3 linked regions of the Arabidopsis thaliana genome follow. The protein of the gene in region 2 interacts with the protein of the main gene of each other region in a biochemical or structural test. Each region holds a gene or a part of one and is shown on either strand. Other genes may lie near its edges. The genes, in order: TPR7, Hsp81.4 and TOC64-III.

The links.
Region 1: the proteins of Hsp81.4 (region 2) and TPR7 form a complex in vitro, tested with the Arabidopsis thaliana proteins (one study listed by BioGRID).
Region 3: the proteins of Hsp81.4 (region 2) and TOC64-III form a complex in vitro, tested with the Arabidopsis thaliana proteins (one study listed by BioGRID).

The regions. Positions count from the first base shown.
Region 1 is NC_003076.8:7,266,231-7,277,269, reverse strand, and holds TPR7 (Tetratricopeptide repeat (TPR)-like superfamily protein), read right to left. Parts: upstream 4,200-11,039; 5' UTR 3,876-4,199; coding exon 3,780-3,875; intron 3,668-3,779; coding exon 3,437-3,667; intron 3,301-3,436; coding exon 3,244-3,300; intron 3,130-3,243; coding exon 3,001-3,129; intron 2,815-3,000; coding exon 2,737-2,814; intron 2,616-2,736; coding exon 2,545-2,615; intron 2,423-2,544; coding exon 2,373-2,422; intron 2,233-2,372; coding exon 2,085-2,232; intron 1,928-2,084; coding exon 1,414-1,927; intron 1,324-1,413; coding exon 1,180-1,323; intron 1,099-1,179; coding exon 952-1,098; 3' UTR 691-951; downstream 1-690. UniProt on the Arabidopsis thaliana protein: Plays a role in protein import into the endoplasmic reticulum (ER). May function as chaperone docking protein during post-translational protein translocation into the ER. Chaperone receptor mediating Hsp70-dependent protein targeting to chloroplasts.
Region 2 is NC_003076.8:22,674,052-22,684,198, reverse strand, and holds Hsp81.4 (HEAT SHOCK PROTEIN 81.4), read left to right. Parts: upstream 1-4,046; 5' UTR 4,047-4,131; coding exon 4,132-4,254; intron 4,255-4,513; coding exon 4,514-4,655; intron 4,656-4,762; coding exon 4,763-6,597; 3' UTR 6,598-6,861; downstream 6,862-10,147. Other genes in the region: HSP81-3 (heat shock protein 81-3), read right to left, coding at 288-2,122, 2,222-2,363, 2,667-2,789. UniProt on the Arabidopsis thaliana protein: Molecular chaperone which stabilizes unfolding protein intermediates and functions as a folding molecular chaperone that assists the non-covalent folding of proteins in an ATP-dependent manner.
Region 3 is NC_003074.8:6,142,504-6,154,075, reverse strand, and holds TOC64-III (translocon at the outer membrane of chloroplasts 64-III), read right to left. Parts: upstream 6,171-11,572; 5' UTR 6,047-6,170; coding exon 5,844-6,046; intron 5,294-5,843; coding exon 5,141-5,293; intron 5,008-5,140; coding exon 4,883-5,007; intron 4,530-4,882; coding exon 4,404-4,529; intron 4,217-4,403; coding exon 4,034-4,216; intron 3,951-4,033; coding exon 3,806-3,950; intron 3,727-3,805; coding exon 3,558-3,726; intron 3,454-3,557; coding exon 3,319-3,453; intron 3,176-3,318; coding exon 2,975-3,175; intron 2,874-2,974; coding exon 2,746-2,873; intron 2,660-2,745; coding exon 2,608-2,659; coding exon of another isoform or gene 2,545-2,607; exon of another isoform or gene 2,507-2,544; coding exon 2,437-2,506; intron 2,362-2,436; coding exon 2,282-2,361; 3' UTR 1,994-2,281; downstream 1-1,993. Other genes in the region: C2 (Calcium-dependent lipid-binding (CaLB domain) family protein), read right to left, coding at 961-1,251, 1,333-1,428, 1,513-1,659; AT3G17950 (uncharacterized protein), read right to left, coding at 6,907-7,473, 7,697-7,765; AT3G17940 (Galactose mutarotase-like superfamily protein), read left to right, coding at 8,832-8,949, 9,043-9,092, 9,335-9,461, 9,558-9,665, 9,747-10,369; DAC (uncharacterized protein), read left to right, coding at 10,830-10,926, 11,022-11,167, 11,257-11,346, 11,445-11,572. UniProt on the Arabidopsis thaliana protein: Chaperone receptor mediating Hsp90-dependent protein targeting to chloroplasts. Bi-functional preprotein receptor acting on both sides of the membrane. Not essential for an efficient import of pre-proteins into plastids.

The sequences.
Region 1 (11,039 bases), about 15 Mb from region 2:
CAATGACAAAGACTCTTTAATTTTCTTTTGGTCTCTTTTGTCTCTGCGCGTGGTCTCTATTGACTCTCTCTCCCTCCCTCCCTCTCACGACGTTCGATTTCTTCTATTTTTTTAATTAAAGACATTTTAACGAAGAATTGATTTAGCTGGGCCCCAGATTAAGACACGTGTTTCCTTCTCTTGTACTTCATCCTTCTAAGTTTTTTCTTTATTTTTTACTTTTGAAGAATGTGTATTCAGTCGTATATTAAAATAATTAAATTATCTAAATTTTGGGTGCACAAAAAAAAATATAATTTAAAATTTAATGAAGTTTTTTTATTTTTTTAATATCTATGAATTTAATAAAGTTTAAGATGATTTTATATACTTATTTCAAAATTTCTCCTCGCAAAATTTGCAAACGTTGGATTGCGAAAAAAAAATTTTTTACTCGAACTTTTCTCTTTAGAACATCTCCAACTCATCTTTATTTTTGTCTTTAAACTTTATTTTTGCCTCTATTTTACTCTAACTCATCTTTATTCTTACCTCTATTATAGAGATCTTTATTTTTTTTCTCTATATATAAAAATAGAAAATAAAAATCTCTATTTTTCCTTCTATATTTATAAAGAAAAATAGAGACAACCATTAGAAATGGTCTTTTCTATTTGCTAAAAGAATCTCCCAACGCAAATAACCAATTTTCTTGTAGAGGCGCTCTACCAGAAGCATAATTATGTTTATAAAATAACGAATATAAGGAAATATTCGTATTTTCTCTAATTTAAAATTCACTACAGAAGAAAGTGTAAAGAAATTTAGACACAAGTGGACTAACAAAAAGCTGAGAGTTAGAGGAAAGAAAAAGAAGATAAAACGATGTTACAGTTTTACAAACTAAACGAACCCACCGAAGACTGGTTTTATCTTCACGAAGGATTAAGCCTTAAGATACCGTTGTTTCCTCTAGTTTCCAATATAGCCGAGACGGTGAAGGACCATTGCTAAAACGAGCATTAATATTGCAAAGATCAATCCGCCTTTTCCGAACAACCACTTCTTTGCTTTCTTCGCTTTCTCCATCCCGGTTTGAGCCCGATCCGCCCATCGCATCTGCAACAACGTGTTTACAATTGAGACAACTATACAATCAACTTTGAATGTTCTTTTGGTTTTACTAAACCGAATTCGTACCATTTTCTCCAAGGCGTCGGGAGAAAGAGAAGCCATGGCTTGCTGAGCTTTTGCAGCGTCTTCTTGAGAAAGCTTCATTCCAAATTGTTCGCTCATGCTAGCCATCATCTCAGGGTTCATGTTCTTTATCATAGACGTGAACATCTACCAATATACAGAGAAACTACTATATGAACATCAACAATCACATTATGTTGACTAAATTGGTAAAACATAAACCGAAAATGATCAAACCTGTCGCATCGCTGGATCTTTCATTTGGTTTCTCATCTGTTCCTGTAAGTCAGCAGGCGGAGCAGAAGGGATGCTTGGTTCGAAACCGCTTCTTGGAGCCACAAAGGAATTTCCCGAAGAACTCCCACTCGCTCCTAAACTTTCCCGTGGTTCAGATGCTTCTGCATTGCCGTATGATGTTGAAGCTGGAGCGTTTGCTTTCAAAGACGATGCCATGTTAAACATCCTCTCACGCTCTTCTGGTGACATCTTACCCATCATATCAGATGCAAGTTTAAGCATGTCAGGTGTGGGTGTAAAACCGTTTTCGGTAGATGGCGCAGTCGGGGCGAAAGGGTTATCTCCTTTAAACGAAGAGGCTGTTTGAACCATTTTTTGAATCTCTTCAGGTGACATTTTGCCTATCATACTTGACGCAGTTTTGAACATGTCCGGTGACATGTCTCCAGCTTTGCCTCCGCTTAGAGCAGCAAGTGTATCGGGATCAGTTTTTGAAATGAAATTCTGGAAAGTTCTGCAGGCCATAGAAAGAATAAAAACAATTAGAAAATCATACTAATCGTGCCAAATGTAGCAGAAAAAGGATGCTTTAGATTATATTTGTCTTCAAGATTAGGAGACAAAAAGATGAAACAACACATCAAACACTAATGTTTGGAAAGGTGTCGAACCTGATTGCTTCTGGATTATCTCTGAGAGCTTGCAATCCATCAACATCAGTCTTTACGCCCTGAGCATGACCATTAGCCTCTTTTGACGGTTTTTTATTCTCTCCGGAAGTAACATTATTTTCTTCAGTTATGTCTTCAATCACCACACCTAATAACCAAACAACATAACATTTTTCAGTTCGTTTCCATATTCATGGACGAAGCATATCATTGATGTAGTAAAGAAACGTCTGGTCTGACATAATACACTGAATTCTTTCGAATAAATCATAAGGAATAATATTATACCTCTTGATGCCTTGCCAGGTCCCTCGACAGCCAATCTTTCCTTAACATCTCTGCATCAGAAAAGATAATACTTCAAGTCAAAAGTTATTTTTTCAATGTTAATATCAAAACCTCTGAGATAAGCAGAACTGAAAAGTATGACATTACCAGTAATGAATATAAAAATCCATACCTTAACACATCGGCAATTGTCTCATCTTCTGGGGAAACTTCATGGGCCTTGCTTAGATCAGAGACGGCATCCTTATAGTTTAAGAGAGTGAATGAGCATTGAGCAAACATATAGTCAGGACATATCTACAGTACAAACATATATATCGACAAGGAATCTCAAGAAAGTTCCATAAGCAACAGAAGAACTCACTTCAAACAAGCCCAAATCTCTGTAAGCTTGACCCCTTCTGTATAGGGCTTTGACATTCCTTGCATCATATCCCAAAACCTGAAATAATGTAAGAATGTAAATTTATCAGAAGAATGTCGAAACAGTTTTGAATAGATCATAAAACGCTGTATGACATCATGTGTTACATCTACAAAAAAGAAGCCAAAAGATTGCCATCTCTCTTTTTCCTAAAAATGTTTTCATCTATGAGTTTTCAGAAAATTAAGAGCATAAAGAATATACCTCAGAACCTTCCTTTATGCACTCTTCATGCTGATTCGTCTTCAAATAACACGACATTAGATTGAGAGAACAAGCCAACAAAATTGCTCCACCTTTAGAAGATGGAATCTCTTTCAGATTGTTCTTCGCCTGAGATATGGTCCAAGAGCATTGTAAACAAGTAGAAAAGAATCGCATATCAGGTTACAAATAAAACTCTTCTTGTCAAGTAGCATGACAAATGAGATACGTCTGCAGACTTACACGCAAGTATTTCTCTGCGGCATCGCTGAAATTTCCTCGGCTATGAAGCTCGTTTCCCTGCCAAACGTAGTAGAAAATGAGATTAACATCAAATTACACAAAGGTCCACTTGCTGAAGCCATTCTTGTTCCTTACTTTATAATCAGGAAAGCAAAATTCAATAGAAAACTTCTCTCAGGAAGTCAATTGTTACCTGTTTTTTAAGCATCTGAGCTGCATTGATCTGATAAGTAAATTGAGCATCAGCATGAGCACGCATAGCTGCAATATCTTCAGGGGAAGCTTTAGCCATCTTCTCGCTAATCTCAGCCATATCTTCAGGCCGAGTATGCTTAAGCTGTTCCGCAGCTTGTTTCAAATCTTCAGGCCTCATGTTCTTCATACTCTCTGTTGCCATATTCATCAAATCTGGATTTGACATCATCTGTATAATAAACAATGGTATAAATTCATCATACAAAGCCATAATCAAATCAAATCAAACAAATTCTCCTCAGAATCGATCGAATAATTCGAATCAGGAAAAATAACGAAACCTGTTGTTGGATCCTAGCGAAATCAGCAGGAGTCATACGACTCATCTGATCTTGAGCGAGCCGAATCATCTCAGGATCCATTAACCCGTTAAACATCGTGTTTTTTTTTCTCGAAGCTTCGATGTGGTTCTCTGTAATCAGATCGGAAACACAGAAAATCGAAATTCGCCAGAGAAGGATAAGCTCGGAATCTGGATCGAGATTGAGTTTGTGAGAATCGGAAAATCGAAGGAGAATTGTTTTGCCGACCCGAAAGTAGTTTCCAATAATATAGAATCGAATTGGAAAATTTATCGCTCAACCTCCTCAATTCACCGACCGGAATATGCCTGGATGATGGAGAATGACTGTTTTACCCTTGATCTACGATGATGCTGTGACGTGCCATAATAAATTAATTTACGTAATTGTATTGATTAACGTAACTATATGATTACGTGCAAATTGTCATGTCCTTGTCCATGTTGGAAGACTAATCTCGTGTTTTTTTTCTTCTTAAACTGAAACGAATCTCTTGTTAAACTCTTTTTTATTTCGTTTTAGAAAGAGTCGTCCAATTTAACTGTTACACGTGTTAAAGTGTCAATAAAATTCAATTTAAATTTGTTTGAGGGTACAAATAATTTTTTGATATTTTAAAATTCTTTAGGGTCTGGATATCGATATCATATGTTTGCCCAGCTACATCTCCATGATATAAGCTCCGAATGGTGATTGCGTTTTGCGGTGCGGGAGAAGTACGGTGCGGTTCAAATAGTAACGAAAATATATAGATACATATGAATATGTAGAGATTTTAATACTGTTACAGTACTGTTGCGGTGCGGTTTTAAGTGCGGTTTTGATTACCATTCAGAGCCATAATATATTTGTTGGAATCCAAAAATGTTTAGTATTCAGTTTCATAGACTCAATCTCTAAAGTAATCCATTTATTAAACTTTAAAATATGCATGTCTTCTGCAGAATTTTTAGTATCTTAAATATCAAAATGATCTTAACAAAAAAATACATATGTACAACTATTCGGGCAAAGAATTTTATTTCAATACGACAATCTTTTCAGTTGTTGAACGAGTTTTAGTGTTTTGACCATACAAAGAAAAAAGACGAGTTTTAGTGACATATAAGTTGTGTTTGGTAATACTTTTTTCAATATTGTTTCGATATAGTTTCATCGACGAGTACATCTATCAATTAATTTTTCTGAAATGTTTATTTCTCTCCACCGCAGCATAAATGTTTCAATGTTTGAAAGAATGGAAACGGTGGTATAGTCACATTAGAAGAGGACCACTTTGACTAAAGCTAGCTACAACTCTCATCTATCTCTCGTCTCCCAATTTTTCAATATTAGCAGAGATTATGATTCACTAAATGATAGCAGTCTGAGAGAAGTGAATGTTGATATGATTTATGATTATCAATTAACTAATCACTAAGTACTATTGCAGCGAGAACGAGGAAATTCTAGCAAACCTCTTCTTCTTGGTCACAATGAAACCAATGGATTAATAAAGTTATATCATATAACAAACAAGAAGGAAACAATATCTTCAACTTATAATTAATAAAGCAATATTGCTAAAGCATTCTGATACATGTTGTGCAACATCTCTCGAAGCTAGATTACAACATGCATGTGCTTCTAAATAGATTACAACAAAGCAACTTTTTAACATGTTTACACGAACCAAAATATGCATACACATATATAGCCTTGATTTTATAATTCACATAGCCCTTGTTATCCTTTAGAATACATCGTAGACACATTCTTACGTATTCTACTATTATATGGCAAAGCAATCTAGGATAATGAGTGAGTTGTATTTTTTGAATGTACCCTCTATTGTACAATGAAAACGAATGTAAATATTCAGTTTTGTTTTTGTTGCCCACATTTTATTGCCGTAAATTGCAAACTATTTTTTTAAAATTGATATGCTAGGGAAAAAATGAGTTAAAGAGCATGATGGAGGAAACAGAAAGAAGAAGGCTTTGAATTTTGATGGTTGTCGGGACGTGGAGAGGATCTCACGTGGCAGTTTCACTCTGATTGGGTCCTAAACCGCCGGCCCACGTGGCATGCCACTTGTCACTGGTACTTCTCTTTCTCTCTTTCACAGCAGCAAGTTGTGTACGATTGCTGTTCTTATTAGGATCCGTCACATCACTTCTCAGCCGGTCAGCCCCCACCTTCCTCCATTAACCCATCAATCCGGTCTTTCGTTTTTGTGTGTATGTTCTGTGGACTTGATTGGTAATTTGGTAACATTTACCATTTGAATGGTTGCTTACTAGCCTAACTTTTTGTTTACAAATGTGCAAAGAAGTTTTTTTTTTTTCTTCGCTTGTAGACTGTACTCTTATTCTGAAGACTAGATTTTGAAGATTCTATGGTGATTTCAGTTTTGGAAATCTTTTGGTGAATGAAGGTTGTTAGAATTTTAAAAATTGCATAATTTTAGCCTTTAATTTTTCGTTTCCTAGTGCTCTCTGATACCGGATTTGTATAACTGGTTAGAGCTTTTGTGTCCTCTGATCCTGTATTTCTAATATGTATTACTAATATGATACTTGTGAACAAACTCATGGCAATTTACAGATTTGACGGAAGTAAACTATGTAGTGACTTCGAAACAATTTGTATAATGTCGTTATGCAATACTTTCTACTTTCTAGACTAGCAAGTTTCATAAACTGAGTGACGTTTATCAAGTGTCATATTGAATCAGATAATAAATATTTGATAAGTTTGGTTCACGAAGAAGGGAAAGATCGACATGGCGTCATACTTGGTGCGTCTTGACACTGAAGAGGTAAAAGCTTAATTTCTAAGTATTTTGTTTCTGTATATACAGCAAGTTAGCGACTACAATTACAAATGCCGAATTTCTGATGCATGCTGATGTGTTTAGCAAATTGTTTCTTGGTTACAGGTTAGTTACAGATTTATCAATGCATTTCTTCCTCATGAGAAATGCAATGATTTAGATTTGTGACGACCAAAAAAAATATATTCGCTTGGGCATTGGTGTGAACGGAATCCAACAGAAAAGGCTCTGATTGGTGGAATTGGTGGTCTCTCAACAAAACTAAAACCAAAATTATTTGCATCTTTATCCACTTCTTCACGGTTCACATCTCTCGTCTTTATCTGCTTATTTTATCTTGTTTCTTTTTCCTCGTTTTAAAACAAGTTTAGCATGTTATCAGATTCAGTTTTACTTTTCTCAACTTTAATTATGATTCGTTTTTGTTGTCATGTGTACTTTTCTATATATATTTAAAATTTTGCTTACACTTCTTTTAGCGAGTATCCTTTACTTTTCAAATATTGTATCTCATGTCATGGTGCGATGTTTTTAACACTTTTGGGAGAAATAACCAATTTATGTACGTTTATACAATAGATTGATTTAATTTCACATACCTATATACGTTAACACATATGGAATTTAAAATAATCATGTACTATATATATAAAAGTTAAGTGTTTACCTCTCTAATAATAGATAAATCAAAATAAACTTTTAGAACAAGAGATAGTTTTCACAAAAACCTTTATACTTATACCCGACGACATTACATATTTTGCATTGGTATATGAAAATGAAAATGTTATATAAAAAATCTTTATAATGACAACATGTTTATTAAAAGTGAATAAATACACGGAGGAAGTAGGGTGGTCCAAATTTGACAACTAAATGATAAATATCGAAGCGCATGTGCATGCATACAATAATCCATAAATTAGAGAACAGCAATTATTTCCAAATGGAAAAAGGAAGCAGATTGAAAATTATAGAGTTTAGAGAAATCTCATATCAAAAATAAAATAAAAAAGAAACGAGACTACTTTTTTTTCTTCCAATACGACGTTAAATCAACATATATCGTCTTTGACAAAAACAAATTATTAAACAAAGAATGGAATTATACAGAAAAAGAATTTGTTTTTGATATAGATATATATAATTGGTGGAACTTCAAAAAAATTATTGAAAATATTTGACTACGAAGGAAGAAATTGTCTCACCTACTGCTGAGAAAGTGGGAAGATAGACAATTTTGTGTTTATTCTACCTTTTTTTTTTGTTAAAGTGTTTATTCTACTTGACTGGCGATCTTTTTAACGGACTATGAGAATTGTAAAATAATTTCATGTTTGATCCACCCTCTCTACTAAAAACTATGTATCATCATATAATTATAATATGGCATGGAGAAATAAACTCTACTTCATGTGAAAGATTAAAAATGTTATTGATTTGTGATTTATATAGATATTTAGTGATTTTTAGTAATTTGAAATGTTAAGTTAGTATTTATTTATTTTATTAAGAACAATTTACAAATAAATCGCAGAAACAAAAATCCTTGATATTATGTAAAGAAAATTATGAAGTTTCACTAGAAAAGTATAGCATCTATATTTTTTCTTAAGCAGTAATTATTGACTCTCACATACAAGTTTTACCAACGACAACCAAACTCTTTTTTCTTTCGACTCTTTACTCTATATAGCGTTGACTCTATCTTTGTTCCATAACATAACCTAATTAATCTGTATTATTGGTTTCTTTTTCACTTTCAATATAGAAAATTGAAATGTTTGTCAAAATTACCTTTATAATACAATAAGCTGATATTCATTTCATGCAACCCTTTTTAATTTATTGATAATTAAATAAAATTCTATACGATTTAAAACGTTATTAACAAGTGTGCGTTCTATCAAAACATGTTTGATAAATCAGAAATCGCTAAATCATAAAGCTGTCAATTTGACTCATATTATGCATCAAGCATCAACACAATTAAAGGCATGGTAATTCAATTTTAAACTTTTGTAAATCGATTATTGAAACAATAACGATGATTGAATGTTGGTGGACTCAGTAGCAGAACCAACGTCGGTCGGAGTCGGAGAGATGCATGGGGGCACATGTCTCGGGTGATATAAATAGAAAGTGTTTGAATGATGATGGTGTAATCAGTGGTTTTAAATCACTGATGTGTTCCTAGGTCAAAGGACCGAATTACTATATACGTCAATTGTAAAATGTTACCGTACCTTAAAGATATATACTTTTTCTTGTTTATTTATCTATATATATAGAAGAGTAAATATGTAAGAAATTCGATTAAACATAGTTTTAGTTATTTATCTAAACAGCAAGATTAATTGGATGGTGGTGAAAAGGCTATATATAATATTACTGTTTGAAAATAATAATATATATATTGTTTTCCCCTGATGAGAGAACAAGTTAAGTAAAAAAAAATCATGAAAATGGACTATGATAAAAAAATGCGACACTGGTATAATAATGTTATATATTTGTATGTAATGCAGAAATTACTTTCACTGTCTGTCACTGAAGTCTGAGAAATCTCTGCCAAAGGGAAAATAAAGGAGTAAACAAACTGGGTAACAGTGTCCATACCTCTGTCACTCACTCACTCTTCAGGGTAATATACGCAGATATATAAATCAAAATATCGTAAAAGAAGCCTAATACTCTTTGACACAAAACAAATATTGTAAAAGAAAAGAAAAAATTTCACACTTGCAAATCATTTTAAGCCGCAATTCTTTTAATTTGACTTTACCGGTGGCCCATATGTAGTTATTAGACATCGAATTTAATTATCGACCCACACGAAAAATTACTATAAAGTTTTCTGAATTCAGAATAGCTTTTGAATGATATGTGGTTGGTGCGGTCGATTAATAAGTGGATTTTATCGAAAAAAATAGTGGTAGTTTTGACGTCAAATAAGTGGTAGAAGATTAGTAGATTACTAACCATGTTAGCTCCATTGACTTCCTTTGTATGATCAGTCGCTAACCCGATTGTTAGTAAAGAACAAAGCAACGCCGTTGCAAGATACAAAGTGGCTGAATTTGTTCTTAAAGACACAAAAAAAGGTAATGATCATCACACTGAACATGTAATTTGTATTGGATGACTTGTATAATTCAGCCAAATCTGTAATTTGAACTTTCACCGATATATTATCAATTTTGCCTAGCAATTATACATTTTGTTGGGCGACTTCACATGATGAATACTAGCTAGTTACCACTTGAACAGTTAGAGTGTGAAAGTAAAATTGAAAAAGAGCCGTATTAATTATATAGTATTGACAATGAAAGGGGGATATAGTTGAATTTGAAAGAAACCTCGAATTTGGACTATTTATGGCGTTATTTCCCCACTGTATTGCTTGCAGACACATTTTCACCATACCTTCTCCCTCTCTCATACTCTCGTGATGTCAATCTCTCTAGTGTGCAACAACAACAACCCTTTTTAGTGTGAAATACATTACTACTACTACAATTCTGCGTGCATTTGATCAAAAATAATACAATTAGATAATTGGCTGTCTTTTAGTCAAATAAAGCTCAAATTATTATTTTTTGACCCACTTTTTCATTTCTGATAGTCGATTTACTTGCGTTTCTTCGTTATATGTATTTTAGTTTCCTTAAACATTTGTACTAAATTATTACTAATAATATAAAATATCATTCTTATAAGATCATGGCTGTTAGCTAGGCATGAATCAAGATCAAGCCAAATTTTCAGTTTTGTAAAGGTTTGACTAGTTTGATCAAATCTCGTATGAAAGTAGACCATTGTTTTGTTTTCGGAGTAAACGGATAATGTGTAATGAACAGAATGAAAGTAACAAAAAGCCAATCAACGATAATGAATTAGTATAGTATAATTATAACTAGCTAGCATCAAACAATGATTTTGCATGTCACCAACCAAAATCTTAACCGTCGTTTAAGCTTTTGACGAATTTTATCCTGATATCTTCTTTGAGAAAAAATTAATATATATAACCGGTAAATTTTTGTAACACCAGAGTAGCATCTCTCTTGTCACTAAATCGAAATATCGAATAACAAAACTTTTATATAAAGCGGTACAATATATATAAATATAATAATAATTAATAAAAAACAATATTTAAAATGAGCATTTGTTGATCTTCATGTAGGTGGACCCCACTGTACTTGCAGACAAAGGCTTTTAACAGAAGACTAGTGTCATATGGATTCTCTTCCTTAAATTCCCAAAATACCCCATGCCCAAAAAAGAAAGTAAATTTATCAAACCTCTTCCTGAGTTCTACATAACCTCATTTTCCTTGGCCATTTATAGTCAATCAAAACAAAAATGAAAAATCTTATGTGGTGATAAGAATCCTTTTTGTTTTGTTGGAAGTCATCTTC
Region 2 (10,147 bases):
GATTTGGAGCTGCTTCATGTATTTTATTAGCCATATTAGTCATACTAATAACTTAGTTATAGGCTACATAACCAAAATAAGCTTGGATTTGCAAGATTGTGCATAAGAGAACCTTTGTCATCAAACCGAATTCAGAGAAAAAATCTTCACGAAAACAAGCGATAGAAGAAATAAACTCCAGAAAATAGTTCCAAAATATTAGTTCAAACGAAAACATAAAAAAAAAAGATAAAAAGATAACCAATGTCTCAACACCCCTAATGATTAAGTCGACTGTGTGTGATAATTTAGTCAACTTCCTCCATCTTGCTACCTTCAGCATCGGCATCATCTTCAAGTGGAGGCATGTCAGCATCGGCTTCAACAACATCATCGTCATCAATGCTCAATCCAAGCTTCAACATCCTGTGAATCCTGCTCCCGAAAGTGTTGGGCTCATCGAGGCTGAAACCAGAAGTGAGAAGAGCGGTCTCAAAGAGAAGAAGTACAAGGTCCTTCACAGACTTGTCGTTCTTGTCTGCATCAGCTCTCTTTCTCAGCTCATCCATGATGGAGTTCTCTGGGTTAATCTCCATTGTCTTCTTGCTCGACATGTAGCCACCCATGCTGCTGTCTCTCAAGGCTTGAGCTTTCATGATCCTCTCCATGTTTGCAGTCCAGCCATACTCGCCTGTTACAAGACAGCAGGGTGAGTCCACAACACGGTCAGAGACGATAACCTTCTCAACCTTGTCTCCCAAAACGTCCTTGATCACTTTGCAGAGTCCCTCAAACTTCTCCTTGAGCTCTTCTTTCTTCTTCTTCTCGTCTTCAGTCTCATCCAGTTTCAGACCTTCCTTGGTTGCAGAGACAAGCTTCTTTCCTTCGAATTCCTTGAGCTGACCAATAGCATACTCATCGATAGCGTCAACCATGTAGAGAACTTCAATACCCTTCTTCTTGAGCTTCTCAAGGAATGGAGAGTTCTCAACAGCCTTCTTGCTCTCACCAGTGATATAGAAGATATCGTTCTGACCTTCCTTCATCCTTGTCACGTAGTCCTTGAGACTGGTCAATTCATCACCGCTCTTGGTTGAGTGGTAACGGAGCAACTCAGCAATCTTGGTTCTGTTTTGGGAGTCCTCATGGATACCGAGCTTCAGGTTCTTAGAGAAAGCCTCATAGAACTTGTTGTAGTCCTCCTTGTTCTCAGCAATCTCAAAGAAGAGCTCAAGACACTTCTTCACAAGGTTCTTGCGGATGACCTTGAGGATCTTGTTCTGCTGCAATGTTTCTCTTGAGATGTTGAGAGGAAGATCTTCAGAGTCAACAATACCCTTGACAAACCCAAGGTACTCAGGAATGATGTCTTCACAGTTGTCCATGATGAAGACACGACGGACATAGAGCTTGATGTTGTTGGGCTTCTTCTTAGTGTCAAAGAGATCAAAAGGAGCTCTCTTGGGAACAAAGAGGATAGCTTTGAACTCAAGCTGTCCTTCAACTGAGAAATGCTTCACAGCCAAATGCTCTTCCCAGTCATTGCTCAAACTCTTGTAGAAAGCAGCGTACTCCTCCTTGTTGATCTCCTCTGGCTTCCTCATCCAAATCGGTTTCTGCTTGTTCACCAAATCCCACTCATGAGAAACCTCCTTAATCTTCTTCTTTTTCTTCTCCTCCTTTTCTTTCTCCTCATCAACTTCCTCAACCTTGCCTTCCTCATCCTTCTTCTCTTCCTCCTCTTCATCATCAGAGATCTCCTTCTCAATGGTCTTCTCAATCCAGAGAGAGATTGGGTAGCTGATGAACTCAGAGTGCTTCTTCACCAAATCCTTAAGCCTTCGCTCCTCAATGTACTCCATCTGGTCTTCCTTGAGGTAAAGGACCATCTTAGTTCCTCTACCAAGAGCCTCACCAGAGGTGTCTCTGGTGACGGTGAAAGATCCACCGGCCTGAGACTCCCACACGTACTGCTCATCGTCATTGTGCTTGGTAGTAACAACAACCTTGTCAGCAACCAAGTAAGCAGAGTAGAAACCAACACCAAACTGTCCAATCATGCTAACATCAGCTCCAGCAGCCAACGCCTCCATGAATTCTTTGGTTCCAGATCTTGCAATTGTTCCAAGGTTGTTCACCAGATCTGAAAAATAAAACAAAAACGTATTAGCCAACACACCAAACACATAAATAATCAACGAAAACCAATACAAATTGCTTTTGACTGAAATCAATTACGTACCAGCCTTGGTCATCCCAATACCACTATCGATAATCGTCAAGGTGTTGTTAGTCTTGTCGGGAATGATGTGAATGAAGAGCTCTGGCTGACCATCGAGCTTGCTCTTGTCTGTCAAGGACTCAAACCTAATCTTGTCCAAAGCCTGTTTTCACCAGAGTAAAATCACAATCGTAAGTAACCAACCAATACACAGAACGTATATACAAATTACATATAAGCAAACTTTGTAAATCTAACAAGAGTCTGCTTAATCGTTGGTATCAACACTAAAACTAATCAACAGATTTGAACACAAACAGCTTCGCAACTTCAATTACCAACCAAAATTCTAAAATCGGCTAGAACACTAAACCCTAATCAATCCTAAATCTACAGATCGAACAGCCAGATCAATCAAACGAGACAGACAAGTATAAAATAAGGTGTAGAGAGATAGAGATCGTACATCAGAAGAGTTACTGATGAGTTCACGAAGGAAGATCTCCTTGTTAGAGTAAAAGGTATTGATGATGAGGGAGAGCAACTGGTTGATCTCAGCTTGGAAAGCAAAGGTTTCTGCGTCCGCCATTCTCGTTGATCGGAAAAAAAATCTAAGAGCTAGGGTTTATGAATCAAATCGAGAGATAAAGAGAGCAAAATTTTCTTTAGAGAGCAGAGAAGTGTTGATTGATACGAGACTTTGGGGAAGGATGTTATTATATATAGTGGTGTGGGGACTGGGAACCTATAAGGGTTTCTAGATCCTTCCTATTTGATTTATGTTAATTTGCTTTTCAGGTCCACATAATCTGCAATATAATTAAATGGAAATTACAAAATACAAAACTATTTTTTGGTAGAAAAATACAAAACTTTATTAAATTTTTTAAAATTTTATTCCCTTTTATTTTATTTTGGAGAACAGGTGTAATTTACTACTTTTTGTAACAGGTTTTAGTTTACTTCTTTTTTTTTTTGGTTAAATTTTGTAATTTACTATTTTATTTTATTGGTTGATGATAATTTACTATTTATAAAAAACAGTCAGATTTAATTCTACTCCCTTTTTATTTTGCAGAACAGGTGTAATTTACTACTTTTTTGTAACAGGTTTTAGTTTCCTTTTTTGTTAATTTTGTAATTTACTATTTTATTTTATTGATGATAATTTACTATTTTAAAAACAAAGCAATAATTTTATTTTTTGCTTACAACTTTTTTTTTCCTGTTTACAGATTGGTATGTGTATCTTTTAATAAAGTTTCAAAAAAATCAATAATTAAATAATAATATTGAAAGTTGTAAAATAAATAAATTAAAACAATAACAAAAAGAAACACATATTCTCTAAAAAGCGTGGGGTTTGTGGGGAGAAAAAATTGATTTTTTTTTTTTAACTTCAGAATTGATTAAAACTTTTTTTTTTTTTTTAACACAACTATTTATCTTGTTGTTATAAATTAAATACATAACTAAAATTTGAAATAAAATTTTGAGATATCTTGAAACTAAGGGATTAACTTTATCGATTTCAAAAAATAACCCAAAACTAGGACCGATCTAAAAAAATCTAAACATAGATAAACTAGAATGAATGGGAACTTGTAAATTCAAATCCATAACAAAATCGAATTTTGTATATGGAGAAAAACATTGTTTTTATTGATTAGTTTAGCTAATAGAAAAATTTAACAAAAAAAAAAAAAAAAAAAGTAAGTAGCACTTGTTCCAAAAAAAAGGAAAGTAAAATATTATGACAATTTTTATATTTTACAATTTCCATTATATTATGACGTCTGTTTCCACATCCCCTATATATTACACACTTTTCCCCCTTAATCAAACCATCAATACTTCTCTGCTTCTCTTAAGAATTTGCTTTTTGATTCACATAAACCCTAATTCTTAGATTTTTTTCCCGATCAACGATAATGGCGGACGCAGAGACCTTTGCTTTCCAAGCTGAGATCAACCAGTTGCTTTCCCTCATCATCAATACCTTTTACTCCAACAAGGAGATCTTCCTCCGTGAACTCATCAGTAACTCCTCCGATGTACGATCTCTCCCTCTCTGTCTTTCTATGTTTATCTTTAAGCTTAATGTGTTTGTGTATCTCCTTCGATTGATTTGACGGATCTATGTGTAGATTTAGGTTTTATTAGGGTTTAGTGTTCTTTTCGATTTGAGATTTTCGTTTGTTAATTGATGGAACCTTTTCATGTTCAAATTTGTTAGATTACTTAGTTTTTGATTGTATATATGTTGTGTGTATTTTGTTACTTATGATTGAGCTTTTTATTCTGGTGAAACAGGCTTTGGACAAGATTAGGTTCGAGTCCTTGACGGATAAGAGCAAGCTCGATGGTCAGCCTGAGCTTTTCATTCATATCATTCCGGACAAGACTAACAACACCTTGACCATTATCGATAGTGGTATTGGGATGACCAAGGCTGGTACGTAATTGATTTCATTCAAAAGCAAGTTGTACTTGATTTCATTCAAAACCATTATCTATGTGTTTGATTTGTGTTTGCTGATTCGTGTTTGTTCTATTGTACAGATTTGGTGAACAACCTTGGAACAATTGCAAGGTCTGGTACCAAGGAGTTCATGGAGGCATTGGCTGCTGGAGCTGATGTTAGCATGATTGGTCAATTTGGTGTTGGTTTCTACTCTGCTTACTTGGTTGCTGACAAGGTTGTTGTTACTACCAAGCACAACGACGATGAGCAGTATGTGTGGGAGTCTCAGGCCGGTGGATCTTTCACGGTGACCAGAGACACCTCTGGTGAGGCTCTTGGTAGAGGAACAAAGATGATCCTTTACCTCAAGGAAGACCAGATGGAGTACATTGAGGAGCGAAGGCTTAAGGATTTGGTGAAGAAGCACTCTGAGTTCATCAGCTACCCAATCTCTCTCTGGATTGAGAAGACCATTGAGAAGGAGATCTCTGATGATGAAGAGGAGGAAGAGAAGAAGGATGAGGAAGGCAAGGTTGAGGAAATTGATGAGGAGAAAGAAAAGGAGGAGAAGAAAAAGAAGAAGATTAAGGAGGTTACTCATGAGTGGGATTTGGTGAACAAACAGAAGCCTATCTGGATGAGGAAGCCAGAGGAGATCAACAAGGAGGAGTACGCTGCTTTCTACAAGAGTTTGAGCAATGATTGGGAGGAGCATTTGGCTGTGAAGCATTTCTCTGTTGAAGGACAGCTTGAGTTCAAAGCTATCCTCTTTGTTCCCAAGAGAGCTCCTTTCGATCTCTTTGACACTAAGAAGAAGCCCAACAACATCAAGCTCTATGTCCGTCGTGTCTTCATCATGGACAACTGTGAAGACATCATCCCTGATTACCTTGGGTTTGTCAAGGGTATCGTTGACTCTGAAGATCTTCCTCTCAACATCTCAAGAGAAACATTGCAGCAGAACAAGATCCTCAAGGTCATCCGCAAGAACCTTGTGAAGAAGTGTCTTGAGCTCTTCTTTGAGATTGCCGAGAACAAGGAGGACTACAACAAGTTCTATGAGGCTTTCTCTAAAAACCTGAAGCTCGGCATCCACGAGGACTCCCAAAACAGAACCAAGATTGCTGAGTTGCTCCGTTACCACTCAACCAAGAGCGGTGATGAATTGACCAGTCTCAAGGACTACGTGACAAGGATGAAGGAAGGTCAGAACGAGATCTTCTACATCACCGGTGAGAGCAAAAAGGCCGTGGAGAACTCTCCCTTCCTAGAGAAGCTCAAGAAGAAGGGTTACGAAGTCCTCTACATGGTTGACGCTATTGATGAGTATGCTATTGGTCAGCTCAAGGAATTCGAGGGAAAGAAGCTTGTCTCTGCAACCAAGGAAGGTCTGAAGCTGGAAGAGACTGATGACGAGAAGAAGAAGAAAGAAGAGCTCAAGGAGAAGTTTGAGGGACTCTGCAAAGTGATTAAGGACGTTTTGGGAGACAAGGTCGAGAAGGTTATCGTCTCTGACCGTGTGGTGGACTCACCTTGCTGTCTAGTAACAGGCGAGTATGGCTGGACTGCAAACATGGAGAGGATCATGAAAGCTCAAGCTTTGAAGGATAGCAACACGGGTGGTTACATGTCAAGCAAGAAGACAATGGAAATTAACCCAGAGAACTCGATCATGGATGAGCTGAGAAAGAGAGCTGAAGCGGACAAGAACGATAAGTCTGTGAAGGATCTTGTGCTTCTTCTCTTTGAGACCGCTCTTCTCACCTCTGGTTTCAGCCTTGATGAGCCCAACACTTTTGGAAGCAGAATCCACAGGATGTTGAAGCTTGGATTGAGCATTGAAGAGGATGATGCCGTTGAAGCTGATGCTGAGATGCCTCCGCTTGAAGATGATGCTGATGCTGAAGGTAGCAAGATGGAGGAAGTCGACTAAATATTGCACAAAGTCGACTAATATTAGCGGTGTTAAGAGTTTTGGTTCTATCGTTTTACATATCTTTGAGAATTTTTTTCTGCTGTAGTTTCTTTCTTATCTTGAAGCTTTTTCTCTGAACTCGGTTTTATGAAAAAGATTTTTTTATGCGAAAGGAACTCTGTTTCTAGCAAATCCAAGCTGATTTTTTGTCAGGTCATATAACTTAGTTATGACCATATTTTGCTAACCAGAATTACGCTAATCATATCTCACACAAAACCGTTACATACAGTGGTCATATATTAATGTAAGTATATAACAATATTAGTGTTTATTTAACTAAAATAAATTTTATTGCTGATCTTTTTAAAAATTATTTTTGCTATTACATGTTTTTAATAAAAGAAAGCTAAGAAACATATCATTATTGCTATAAACCCCACTAATTATAGTTGTTTTGAAAATAATATAGTTATTTTTTTGTAAAAGATATACATGTAACTTCAGCATTTTCATCGTTTTCTATTTTTGAAACTAATCAAAAATAATAGTAAGAAAAAAACTTTTATGAAATATATATAACTTATTTTCTCAATATCTCTTTAGTATATTGATTAATTTATGCTTCTTAAGCCATATTATTTTTAATTTAAAGCCATATATAAAATAATTATAAGAAAATTGAAACAATAATTGGCAAAAAGATGCAAATTCCAGGTTAATTGAATCAGATGCAGATACAAAATTTGTAATTATAATGAAATCGTAAAAACATTAAATGAATTAAAGAGAAAAAAAATACGACGTAGGGTGCAAAGAGGAGATTTCATCTCAACGCATGGGGGTCATATTAGAGATTTGAAGCCAAATGATTTATCGAATAAACTTTAAAAAAGTTTTTTTATAAATGTCATGGGGGTCAGTTGACCCCCCTCCTATATAACTGCCTCCGCCCCTGGTTACATAATATAGAACAATTTCTTGGCACATGGACCTAAGATTGACACACATACAAATTATATTATACTGTACCATAGAAAATATACAATTATCTATATGTAACAAACAACTATATATAAGATGATTAAAATATATGTAATGATAGAATTCTATTATAATATAATGTTGTATACGTTTATCTATACACAGTTGATAAAATTTTCCAAAATAAACCATAAATTTAAAACTTTACAAATACTCATCTTACGTAATATATTAATATATGATAGCTTGAAATAGCCAAATTAACTATAACAAACAACTGTGATGGCATATTGCCGTGCAACAGACAAGTATTTACCTAGTTTACATGTTATTACATGATATTTTGTTGAAATTATTTTTGAATTTTAATAATTAAAATACTAATTTTTGTAGTTTTTTCTAATTTTTTTTAATTTTATATAGTTTAGAGTTATAATCTATTATTTTTCTTCCTTACAATAAACAAGAGAATTAATTGTTTTATTGTAGAGTTTCTACAAAGTTGTTTTAAATAGCATTTTTAGTTAATATTTATGTTGAAGACTATAAATTGTTTAAAACAATTATCATTAGTTCTCATTAATTATTTACATATGATTTATATTTAAATCGCTAAAAATATGATTATCATGTGTTTAATTCAACTTTAAAAGCACATTAACATCAATCAATCATTAATAGATCGAATGAGCTTGATGTTTTAGTTGGTCTTATAAATTAATTTCCCCGATAAACAAAAACAAATTCTCTCCGACCAGATAAAACATTACATGGTGATGCTTCAAACTAAAGTTAGCTTCATTACATCTAACAATTTCGACATTTCTGTGATCGAAGCTCGAAGTTAAATCAAACATAGTTTCTTTGGATTTTAGCTATCGTTTCCAAGGCAAATCTCTCATATTTTTTTAACCATAAAAAATAATCTTTTATACTCTTTTTATTCTTTCAAACCAATTAATCTTTTCCTATGAGGAGATTTTAGTTATTTGTGTGAGCATAGTTATGAAAACATGTAGACAATAATTGAAACCCAAATGTAAAAGGTCCAAATTTAAAGTTTTTGTGGTTTAAAGCATAAAATTGATTTTCAAACAATATTCATGTAAAAAATAATGTATAAAAAATAAAAACTAAATCATATTAATGAAATATTCTTATTGAAAGAGAAAAAAGCTGAAGAGAGTGCGTGAAGTATGGTTGTTGGGTTGAGTTGGCTTTTAGAAGCATTATTTGATCTTGAAGTTGAGTTTGTGTCTAGTATGGCTGAAGATAAGATGAAGAGTAAAAACTGTTTTTTCAAAATGAAAAGTGTTTGGTAGTATATATTTCTTGGAGAAAGAGATAGTCTACATAGAGCGTGAAGAACTTTTAGAAGAAGTTTCTTATTTCAGTCTTGTAAAGAAAAACAAGAAGAATGGTCTTCCATCTCGTTTATATGATTTATTTTTTATACGCTAAAAATATGATTGATCATGTGTTTTATTCAATTTTAAAAGCACATTAACATTAATCAATCATTAATAGATCTAATGTGCTTGATGTTTTAGTTGGTCTTATAAATTAATTTCACCGATAAATGAATTTTTTTTTCTCCGGCGAGATAAAACATTACATGGTGAGGCTTCAAGCTAAAGTTGGCTTCATTACATCTAACAATTTCGACATTTTTATGTACGAAACTTGTAGTTATATCAAGCTTAGTTTCTTTGAATTTTAACTATCGTTTCCAAGGCAAATCTCTCATATTTTTTAACCATAGAAAAATAATCTTTTATACTCTTTTTATTCTTTCAAACCAATTAATCTTTTTTCTATGAGGAGATTTTAGTTATTTGTGTGAATATAGTTATGAAAACATGTAGACAATAATTGAAACCTAAATGTGAAAGGTCCAAACTTAAACTTTTTTGTGGTTTAAAGCATAAAATTAATTTTCAAAAATATATATGTCAAAATGATGTATATAAAATAAAAACTAAATCATATTAATGAAATATTCCTTTGAAAGATAAAAAAGCTGAAGAGACGGCATGAAGTATGGCTATTGAGTTGAGTTGGCTTTAGAAGCACTGTTTGATCTTGAAGTTGAGTTTGCGTCTAGTATGGCCGAAGATAAGATGAAGAGTAAAAGTTGCTTTTTCTAAATGAAAAGCGCTCCTTGGAGAAAGAGATAGTCTACATGGAGCGTGAAGAACTTTTAGAAGAGGTTTCTTATTTCAGTCTTGTGTAGCAAAACAAGAAGAATGGTCTTCCTTCTCCTCAAGAAAGAACATGGAAGTCATTGAAGCATAAATGAGTCATTCTTCCATTGCCTTACTACAAACACAATGTTCCCCTCATCTACAATGGATGGGAAACTTGATTGGCAAGTCACTTCCTTTTGTATTAATGTAGGGTTCTTGGTGAGGGAAAATCGCTAATTCTTCAATTAGGTTTTTTTTCCCTTTTCTCACCTCTTCTTCTTTTTGGAAGAACATTATTCATGTCTCTGCTTCTCAACCATCCCCCGAAGCTCTGCTTTCGTATACCCTTGTTGGTAAGATCATCTCCTCTTCTCTCTAATGGCGTCTCATCGAAGATC
Region 3 (11,572 bases), on a different chromosome or scaffold from region 2:
TGTTTTGGTAAAAAAATGTTGACTACTTTGGGGAGTTGGTGGAAGAGGAATCTCTAGATCGCTCATTGGGGAACGAGATTTGGGTCCCTTGGGATCTATCAAACTTTATACATAATTTAGAATATATCTCAATACTATCATACTACAGTCGAATCTTTTACTTTATTAAATAGAGAAAAATATCACATACTAGTACTACACTTCACTCTTGTCACGGTCGTTTGACACATTATTGTAAAGTCGCCGTGCCACTCATAGTAAAGGACAATTATGGCTCACGTGTTTTGTCGTTATAAAACCATGGTGCTTCACTCATTAGTGTACATCTGGATTCTCTTCACCTACCATCCCTTTTGTGGCTTCTGGCTTTTTCCCTTCGATATTTTATTCTTTCTTCATCATTATTCTTTATGACCTTAATTAGCGCTAATGTACAAGTAAATCTTGTTCACAAAAATTACATAAGTTGTGCTTCAGTAACGTACACATAAAACCTCCAATGTCAATGGTTTAAAAAAGGCCTATCGATGTCGATGGTAAATGGTAATATGCTGGTCTTTTTTTCACTTTTTACCTATAAACATTAGTACATCACATGTGTTAAAACAATCTACCATTCATAAGTATATGGAACGATAATTAAATAAATAAAATATCTGTATTAGTTGTTCGTGTAAATGCCTTATTTAAGGCATAGCTAGCCCAAATATACATACACATCAACAATACACCACATTTACATATCCACCACCACGACTCGACTTGGACTCGATCACCATATGGGAACAAAACTTCCCTCAACGTTCTTAATCCTTATATTTCCATGGATTAATACGTGTTTCTAGTTCACTATATCCTTCAAGATTGAAATTACTTGTTTTTTTCCATGCTGTTACTTGGTTTAGTTCAATTTGAAAGAAAACAACTCAAAGTAACGGTAAATAAGAAAAGAAAAAAGATTCATAGACCCTTGGAGCCAGGGAGGTCAATCCATTGAAGCTGAGCCTCGACCTCTCCGCATTCCACATGTCGCAATCTGAGAACGAGATCCTGGACGAGCTTGCCGTCGACCCAGGTGACACGTGACTCCTCGGCTAGACAGTTACGACGACTTGGCTTAACCGTGGTCACAATGGTTCCACTAGGAAGTCCATCGAGTTGCATCCTCAAAGCCTCAATATAGGGCTTTATCTCGAACTCAGCATCGCCCATCTTGTCGTCTTTGCTAAACATGTCGTGATCATACACCGTCTACATATAACATTATAGTTTTATCAATATAAACATCTTATGATAAGGAAATTAATGTATGTTTTAGTAAGTAAAAAGTACCAAGAGGACGGTAAGATTGGAGTCTGTGACGGAGAGAGTCAAATCTTCATTCCATTCTGGATTAACATCTTTGTTAATGACACGAGTCTTCAATTTCTGTAAGATTTAATATGATAATTTGAGAATGTTTTTGATGTAATGAAATTGCATGTGAAGTTGTAAAATGATGAATGGATTAACCTGTTTGCCCATCTTGACGACGACGTAAGGATCGCTGCTACTGATGTCACGGACGGCTAAATTGACGCCACGTTTGATACGGATTCTAAGGAGGCCCAAGAGATCGTCCATTAGTGAGCTTGTCCTCGCCGGACACGCCGTTGTCATTTCCTTTATTAATGTTCCTGATTATTTCTTCCTTACTCACTTTCTACAACCCTTTTTTTTTGTTAACGCTGCAACCAACACACGTTTAATTCTCGGGGAAAAGCACAACCGAGATAAAGAAAAAAGGTTAAACGAACCAACTCACCCGTGAAGATAATTCAAAGGTCTCTTTAGTTTCTTTCGTCAGATTTCGTTCCGTTCAAACTATCATCGCTAAATATTAGGGCAGGTCTCTTTGGTTTCTACTCCTCTTTTTTTCTGTTTATTTTTTTTGAGTCGTGGGGAGGAGATAACGTGCGAGAAAAGAAAATGATAAAGACAAGATAGTTAAAGACATGACCTTATTTTTGACGCTACGCTGACTAGAAGTCGACCGGGAATGCCGGTATCCGGTGTTTAAGATTAACATTACTTTTTGATATCCAATTTTAGAGAACGTTTAAAATAAACATCGGATATTATAATTTTCCATTCTCGGCGGACTTGCAAAAGGTATCTCTAGATAAAATGCCTAAATATCAGACGCAAAAGACAAGTGTTGACAAAATTGGCCTATACTCTTGGACAAATTCTAAGGAACAAACGTTTTCTCAATGATCGGTGAGGTACGGACAAAAGAAGCTCACTGGAATTTTCTCAGTCTCTCTGCTGAGAGAGACGCTCGTTTGTTGTTTGGTTCCAGCACAAGTGCGTATCTGAAATCTGCAGAGTTTATGTTATATTCTGCCAGATTCTACAAGGCGAAAAAACAATCAGATTATGTTCTTTAAAGCTTACCTTCTATGGCTCCCTTGCAATCGCCTAACATTTCTCTTGCGGTTCCTCTTCGTAAATAGGCTTTAACATTCTGAAAGAAATCAAAAACGATCTTTGTGTTGTGTGTTCTTACAAAGTAAAGAGTGTTTTTTTTTCAAGAGAAACCTGTTTCTGTGTTTTAATGAAAGTTACCTTCTTGTCGAGGGTGATGGCTTTGGTACAGTCTTCTTCGGCTTGAAGAAAGCTGTATGTAAATGATTTGTCAAGGCAATGCCACATAGAAAGATTTGCTCACTAAAAAGTATTTTTAAGGATCTGAGAAACATTTACCCTCCAAGTTCAAGATATGCAGCAGCTCTGTTACTGTAATAGGTAGCATTGTTGTCACTTAGCTTTATAGCTTCTGAGTATAGACCAATAGCTTTCTGCCATAGTTTCTCTTTGAACGCTTGGTTACCCTGGTTTACATAATCACGGGACACAAAGATATAATAACCACATTAGATTATGGATGATAATGCCATTAAGAAAATGAGACATGCAATGGATATTAATTGACCTTCTCTTTGGCAATCTCGGCTGACTCTTCTTTGGTGATAGCCTTTTTAGAAGATTTGGGATCGGTAACAATACTCGAGTACTCTTGCAAAGATGGATACATTGTCTGCACTGTATCTAGTAAAAAGCGGTCACCACCGTGTCTTCCTATGAAAGAAACTGAAATAGGGCATTTCTCATGATGTCCGAGTGGCACAGTCACCTGAATCATCAGCACGATAAATGTAAGACACATATACTGTGGATTGGTTTTGCTAACACTGACTGGTCAGTGGTTGCTTTTAACATGTGTGAGGGGAACTTTACTAGCATGGCAGGTGAGAGAGAGAAAGAGAGAGATTTAACCTGACAACATCCTGATATGCTAGCAATGCTAAGCAGACTTGAAGCTCGGTTTTGATAGTCTTCAGATGTTATCTCCTTGCTACCAAGTTTTGGAGGAACAGCTGGCAATGTTGGAATTACCAGAATGCCATCATCCTTGATACATAACGTTACAGAGTTGGGAACCATTAGAGATTAGTCAAGAGACATATAAACTAACTCGCTCAAGTTGTGGACATGTCATGGAAGAGCAGGAATACCTTGAGAAGTGAACCAATAGCCACTCGAGTCTCGTTTCTGATAGCATTCAGGTTCTCAGTCTCTTCATTGGTTAGTTCTGGGTTCTCACACACTTGTGATAAAATCACAGGATCAATGGCTGGCTTCACTGTGTTGATCCAATCCCCATGATTTTGAAGGAACTCGTGCCTACAATGCCAATATTGTTATAGAGTGTTCAAAACTAAGATATTTTCATCCTCTGTAGGTGAATAAACAATAGGCACACCTTTGAAGGAGCTGCATCACATTCGCCAGTAGTCTCGATGTTGAGACCTTCGTGTTAGCAATGGCTTTTGTCCTAGCGAACTCTTTCAAGCTAGGAACTTTAGTTTCAAAATAGGTCTCCAAGTTCTGATGCTTTAGCAATTGTCCTAAATATAAAACAAGATAATGCTATTATAATCAGAATTTCTAACAGAGACTGGAGGATCTTCAGGGAGAGTAAAGGGCATACTTCCAAAAAGCTTTTCAGCTGATTTGGTCACCACCTGGGTAATCCGATCCACAGGGATCTTTAACAGCTGAAAACAGTCATCAGCTAGTATGATTTGCCTTGGATTCCGTTGAGTGGCAAATGGAAGTTGCAAGAGTACATGGCCAACACGACGTAGGGTGTTTGGATCGCGGGCAAACCATCCTGAAGCCAAAATCTATTGATCAGAATCAACGTAATGCTCATTTAATGGTCCTAAATATAAATTAGTCATACGAACAAAGGCATCTAAATCTTGCAATGTGATTATACAACAATTGAAACCTAGCCTATATAAGATCCAAATCATTCCACCACAAACAGTATAATTCAAAGATTTATATATCCATACCAACAGAGTCAAGACTTGAAGATACTGGTATGATTCCGGTGTTTGAAATAGCCCCATAAGAAGATTTGAATCCAAGAACGCCACAGTATCCAGCAGGCACTCTTACCCCGCCAACTGTGTCGATGCCTGCAAAGATGCAAGTAATCAAAACTATACTCTGAAAACAATTGAAACCGAACCAACCAGTAGACAGTTGAAATTTTAGATACTGATAGGAGGAGCCAATGACAGACTACCATATAAATTATAAATCCGCATGGAACTATCTTACCATATAGCCATAAGAGTCTAAATCAAGCAATTCTATTAGATGCCAAATAAGTTTCTGCAATATAAATAAATTATCAATCGTTTCAGAAATTTTCTAAGGAAGATTATTGACCATGTTTTGAAAGTTTATGCAATGTTTTGTTTCTCAAAGATACGGTTATCTCATACCAAATTGTCCAAACAAGGAAAAAAGTAGCTACTGAACTCACCTAGAGCAAAATCCACAGCATTTGTTGCTACGGCTACAGCAGCTCCACTGCAAGCGCCACCAGGAATACGAGTAGGAGCTGCAGGATTTGTAGGTGAATCGTAATGCTTGTTTTCTCCACTAATACTGAAGAAAATGAAAACAGCCAAACAAAGGAATTAATATACTAACATCCTGATAAAATAAAAATTTCAACACTGGAATCACAATCTGAATCCTGATACAGGTAACAATTTAACATTATGAAACAGAGACAAACCTAAACGCAAACTCATCAACTACAGTTTTTCCAACACAAGTGGCTCCACCTTCAACGAGAGTTGAAACCACAGGAGATGTTGACGAAGCAGCTTCATGGGTCCTGACCCAGTCTGGATGACCAAATCCAGTCACATACCCTGTAATATCGAATCTGGAAAACAAATGAAAAGGAAAGAAAGAGTAAATTAGCTTTTCAAGAACTTCAAAAGTCAAAAGATCATAGAAGAGAATGAGAGATATACACAGATTAGATAAATAGTCAATCAACATGTTGAGACAGTTATAAGTAGGACTCCATGAATAAGTCGAGGTCAAACTTGGTGACGAATCTAAAACATACAAACACCTAGCAACAGAGATCAAACAGTAGAGCCTTCCAATGAACAGATTCAACAAGTATCGATTTGAAATGAGTTTGACAAAACTAGCAGACACACACACACACACACACACATTTGAATCTACAACAAACACAATTTTCAGTGAAACGGCTCAAAATCAATCAACCATACTTTCGAAAGCTCAGAATCAGACATGTAGTGCGCCGGAGAAGATTACGAGTCGAGTCAACGCAGATTCCAACATTTGTCAAACAAAATTTTGACTCTACCCAAGGAAAAAATCATTCAGCTAAACCCCCAAATATAGATATGATAAACATATGGGAGAAGAAAGGGGGAAACAAGTCAACGGAGACTCACACGTCGGAAACGGCAAAGGTTAGACCGGTGAGAGGATGAGGAGCTTTGGGAGGAGCAGGTTGCGGAGGGGGAAGAAGCATGAGTTTATCGATAAAAGCGCCGAAATCTTCACGGACGGTCTTCTTCAGCTTTTTGGTAAGCATAAGAATCCCAGCGAGACCTAAACCTAGAAGAACCCAGAGATTCGCAGCTTGAGACGCCATCGGTGACGTTTTTGTTCTAGCTGCTGCTGCTGCTGCTTAAGATAAGAGAGATAGACCCTAAGGAGAAGGACGCCAAAGAGTTTTTGTTTAGTGTGTTGCGTTCCCTTTGAGTTTTTATTCTTTTTCCTTCTTCCTTTTTTTAACATCACTCGAGGGTTTATTTTATTTTCGTTTTGTCAACAGTTTTTTATTCACGTTGTAAAACAAAAAATTAATTTTATTAATTGTTTCTTGTTTTTACAGTTTATTTTATTAATTCAATTGGTATAAAATATGGATACACATAACAAACATTTTGCCGTATTTTCGGTTTCTTGTGTGTGTCCACTTGTTCGATAATTTTGCTTCGTCGTTAGGAATCTTCTCCTCTTATGTTATGAGGATGATTTGTGGTTAATTGTTTTACTTTCAGAAATACTAGTGGAAAATTAACCACGAATGTGGCACACTCCTGGCCAGAATCATATTGTGTTTGCCTCAAAATCTGATTTGGTCAAATTATTGTCCAAAGACTGACTAGTATAAAGACGTATTGATGAAATAATTTGAAGCAAAAACTCAATATGATAGAACAACGTTTAGCATTTTAAATAAAAACTCTAATCAAGTGAACAACTCCATTTTACACCAAAAGCTGTGCATGTGTGCCATTCTATATGCTTATCTTTTACTATTGCCATTGTAATTAATCTCCTTCATAATTCTCCTTATCAATCATTATTATTTCTCAAATAATTACTTTGACAATGACTACATTCAACATGTTATATTTTCCACAAACAATGATTCCGATTCGACGAACAAAATACAAAAATTTAAGTCTAAATACAAATAAAAGACACACACATGAACCGACGTATTCATCCTCCACCACCGCTGCATATACCGGTTAAAGATACCGGAAATCTACAAAGGGACGTGGCTACCGGCGTTCCTTCTCCGGTAACCACTTCAGCTGAAGCCGGAGGAAGAACCCTTCCGTCAGCGAACAATGCCCGCTCCCCCATCACCGGCTGCTGATCTTGGTACCGTGCCACCACCGCATCCTCTAGCTCTGCCTCGGCGGAGTTGTAAACGGCTTCATCTCCAAACCTCCGTTCCACCTCTAGATACTCCCCGAGCGATGACCGCTTTGAATCTCCTGTTCCACGGTGGATTCCATTTCCGGCGGCGTCGTCATCGTCATCTCGGCAAAACCGCCACCATTTACGGCGGCGATGCGGCTCAGGCTCAGCCGAATTTGAAGGAGGACGCTTTCTCTGGTGGTTGCGTCTTGCATTGGAGCTAGAAGCTCGTGAGATTGCGACGGAAGGTGACACGTGGCGGCGTGAAGAGGCTCTAAATGGCATCGGCATAGTTGCAGTGAAACTAAATCCCATAAGCGTTCCAAGTGTGATGCTTCTGTCATGGAAGAACGATCCTGTTGACTAAATCCTCACATCACCAATAAAAAAACCAAATCAAGTTCTAACAAGTACATATATATGTTTCTGGGCAGTTCTGAAAACATAACCTTTGGAACTTTAAACTAGTTTTCTAATTAAAGGTTGATACTTTATAGCATAAAGCTTTATGGGTAGCTTAGAAAACACATGAAGAGCTTGATCTTTAATTAGATTATCTATTAAGTATAAGATTGCAGGAACTGACCTCAGTATCAAGATCGGAGGAAGAGACGGAGGAGATAGTTGGAGAAGATGGGACATGAGGATCTTGCATCTCTGTAATCGCTGGTTTCAAAGGGTTTGAAGATGTGGGAGATTGTGTCACTGAATTAAAACGAACGACGTCGGATTAGGGAGTTTCTTGATGAGAGGAAAAGGAAAGTGTTTTTGTGGATGGATAGGTGAAGAAGAAGAAAGTGACAAATGATTTGCTTTTTGAAATGATTGTGCTTCTTTAAGCTAAAGTCCTCTTGGCCATCTGTTACACTATTTCTTTCCATGTCTCAGAGAGCTTTGATATTTTTGATAAATTTGATTTAATTGTTTCTAGTTATGGGAATAATCAAAATCCTTTACAGAGACATTTTTTTTGTAAACTTTGGGTAAAAGCTGAGACATGTTGGATGGTAGCAAATTAAAATTTACGAAAAGAGGATAAATTACAACAAAGTAAGCTTTTATAGGTACTATTGATTTTTTCATAGGATACCTGAAAAAGGGTAGAGAAACTACATCTAAATTCACGCGAATACTCTGTTACGATCATGTATAGAGTTTTTTTTTGGGGTCAAACTGAATATGTTTAGAGTATATTTTATTTATTTTCTTGTTATCTGATGATATCTTTGTCTTTCTCTTATTGTCAAAAGCATATAATCCGACTTATCAAATTTTTTATTTTATAACTGACTAATCAAATATTTTTTTACTTAAAATATTATTGATAATTAGAAAATTAGATCCAAATTCTACATTTGTTCTTTTCTCTAATCTCTATAGTTTTGGATTTTAGTTGGTAACTTTTGAATTCCTGAAAGTAAATTTGGTAACTTTTGGGTAGTAATTTGATTTTCAAAAAGTTTAGAAATGCATTAAAGTGTAAAAAACGAAAAACAAAAACCCCCAAGATAAATAGTTTTTTGTTTGGGGGGTAAAAATGATAAATAGTTTGGGATGTGGATGACGTCAACATTGATCAGTTACGAGATTACGATTTTATAACTCTTTTAACCAAAGCTAATCACTTCACCCTCTGTTTTGTTTCTCCCCAATCAAAAATCTCAATCCCAATCACTTCGCTTCTAATCTTAAAGCCTTTAATTTAGTCTTCGAGCCCTCTAATGGCGGATCAGAGCAAAAACACTCCAGAGATCTTCGAGCTCAACAATGGCACCATGCAGGTCAAGATCTCAAACTACGGCACCACCATCACCTCTTTGTCTGTTCCCGACAAGAACGGTTTGTTCTCTTCTTCCTCCTTTCAATGATGATCTCTGTTTTGTCTCCAAATCCTAATCCTCTGATTATCGTCTTTGTTTTTCTTATTTGAAGGGAAACTGGGGGATGTAGTTCTCGGATTCGACTCGGTGGATCCATATGTGGTAATTTCTCTCGAATTCACCTAATCCTTGAACTGATCTCGACATAGATTCAATCAATCTGATCGAAACTCTAATCACTGCCTCTGGATCTCATGAATAGAGTCTGAATCATAATTTAAGAAATGTATATGGTCATTCATGTACCTTGTTGAATGACTTTGTGATGAACTATCAAAATAAGATGGACTTTGTAACAATGTTAATGAATATGTGTGTTTTATCTATGAATATGATTGTTACAGAAAGGGCTTGCACCATACTTTGGGTGCATTGTTGGTCGTGTGGCAAATCGGATCAAGGAGGGAAAATTCAGTCTCAATGGAGTTAACTACACTTTGCCTATCAACAAGCCTCCTAATAGTCTCCACGGTCTGTATAAACAATTCTCTTCTCTGTATACTTTCTCTATAACTTTCTGTGAACTAAATAGGATTTGGACCGTAAAATGTTACTCTATCTGTACAGGTGGTAACAAGGGTTTCGATAAGAAGATATGGGAAGTTGCAGGGCACAAGAGAGACGGCGAAAAACCTTTCATCACTTTCAAATATCACAGTGCCGATGGAGAAGAAGGTAATGACATATCCTTTCTCTAGCATTTGATTTCTGTGGGATTAGATTAGCTATATAATGTTTTGCGGTTCCCCTCCACAGGTTACCCTGGTGCGGTTTCTGTCACGGCGACATACACTCTCACGTCAGCCACGACAATGAGACTTGACATGGAAGCTGTTCCAGAGAACAAAGATACTCCCATCAACTTAGCTCAACATACATACTGGAACTTAGCAGGTCATGACTCAGGAAACATTCTAGACCATAAGATTCAGATATGGGGGTCTCATATCACGCCGGTTGACGAATACACAGTTCCTACAGGAGAGATCTTGCCTGTAAAGGGAACTCCTTTCGATTTCACTGAGGAGAAGCGGATAGGCGAGTCTATTGGAGAGGTTGGTATCGGATACGATCATAACTACGTGTTGGACTGTCCTGATCAAGAGAAGGAGGGGCTGAAACACGCAGCGAAGCTCAGTGATGCTGCTAGCTCAAGGGTACTGAACTTGTGGACCAATGTGCCGGGAATGCAGTTTTATACCGGGAACTATGTGAATGGAGTGGTTGGGAAAGGGAATGCGGTTTACGGGAAACATGCGGGTGTGTGCCTTGAGACGCAGGGATTCCCGAACGCGATTAACCAGTCGAATTTCCCGTCTGTTGTGGTTAAGGCTGGTGAGAAGTACAATCACACGATGCTGTTTGAGTTTTCAGCTTGAGTTTATAGATGGACGTTTTAGGTGTTAGATGATGGGAATAAAGGGCCGGTTCATTTGATTCACTGGGCTGGAAAAAGAGTGATTTTAATTTTATCTCTTTGGGGGAGAATAATAAAACCAAACTGTTTACATTATATTAAAGTTACTTTATTTTTTCATATCTTCTAAACATTTGGCCCATTTGTGAAATTGTGAATTGTGCAGCGAATGAATCTCCCATTGTTCACATGAACTTGGAAAAAAAGAGCAATTAGTGTATTTGAGTAATTCTGATGGCAATTATGTCTACACGCATGTCTTTTGGGCGGTGAGAAACACGCGCCACTAAAGAAGCAAAAGCCTATGGGCCCCAAAAAATATCAACCATCCATCTCTGTAATCTCTTCGTCCTCCCTTAAATTTTTGTTTCATTATTTTTTTCACTAGTAACCACGGCTTGTGTTGTGGCTTAAACACAGAAATGGCTTCTTTACCGTTCGGAGTTTCGAATCTATGCAGAAATCAGGAGGTTCTGTCTGCGTCTGTAAGGCTTCTTCCGGTTGGGCGACAAACCACAGGTTCTGTTCTCCCCCAATAATCGTTTTCGATAAAACTTAAGGATTTCAAGCTGAAGCGATTGTAAAACTCTCCTGTGTTTGTTGTGATGATGCAGGATTCGGAGCTGCGAAGAAAGTCTTATATAGATTCGAGGGACATAGATTGTCATCATCAGTAGAAAAGGGAGAGAAACAGAGAATGAGATGTAGAGTTAGCTCAAACTCTACTGAAACTGAAGACGATTCTGCTACAAAAACCAAGGTCTGCACTCCATCTCTTTGAATTTACATCATAATCTATCGTCGTAGTAGTCCTGAAGCAAACTCTGTTGTGAAATAATTTGGTTATAGACGACGCCGTTTGGTTACACGAGGAAGGATGTTATATTGATAGGAGTGGGAGTGACTGCACTTGGTATCGGGCTAGAGAGTGGACTTGAGGTAATTCTCATTATCTACATACTGATGATATCAAATGAATCTGTTATCTTTTTCTTTGTTCTTCTGAGTACTCATTTTGTGATAATGATATGGTGCAGTATGTGGGAGTTGATCCGTTGCAAGCGGGGAATGCAGTACAGCTGATACTGGTGCTTGGTTTGACTTTGGGTTGGATTTCGACTTATATCTTTAGAGTCGGTAACAAGGAGATGACTTATGCCCAGCA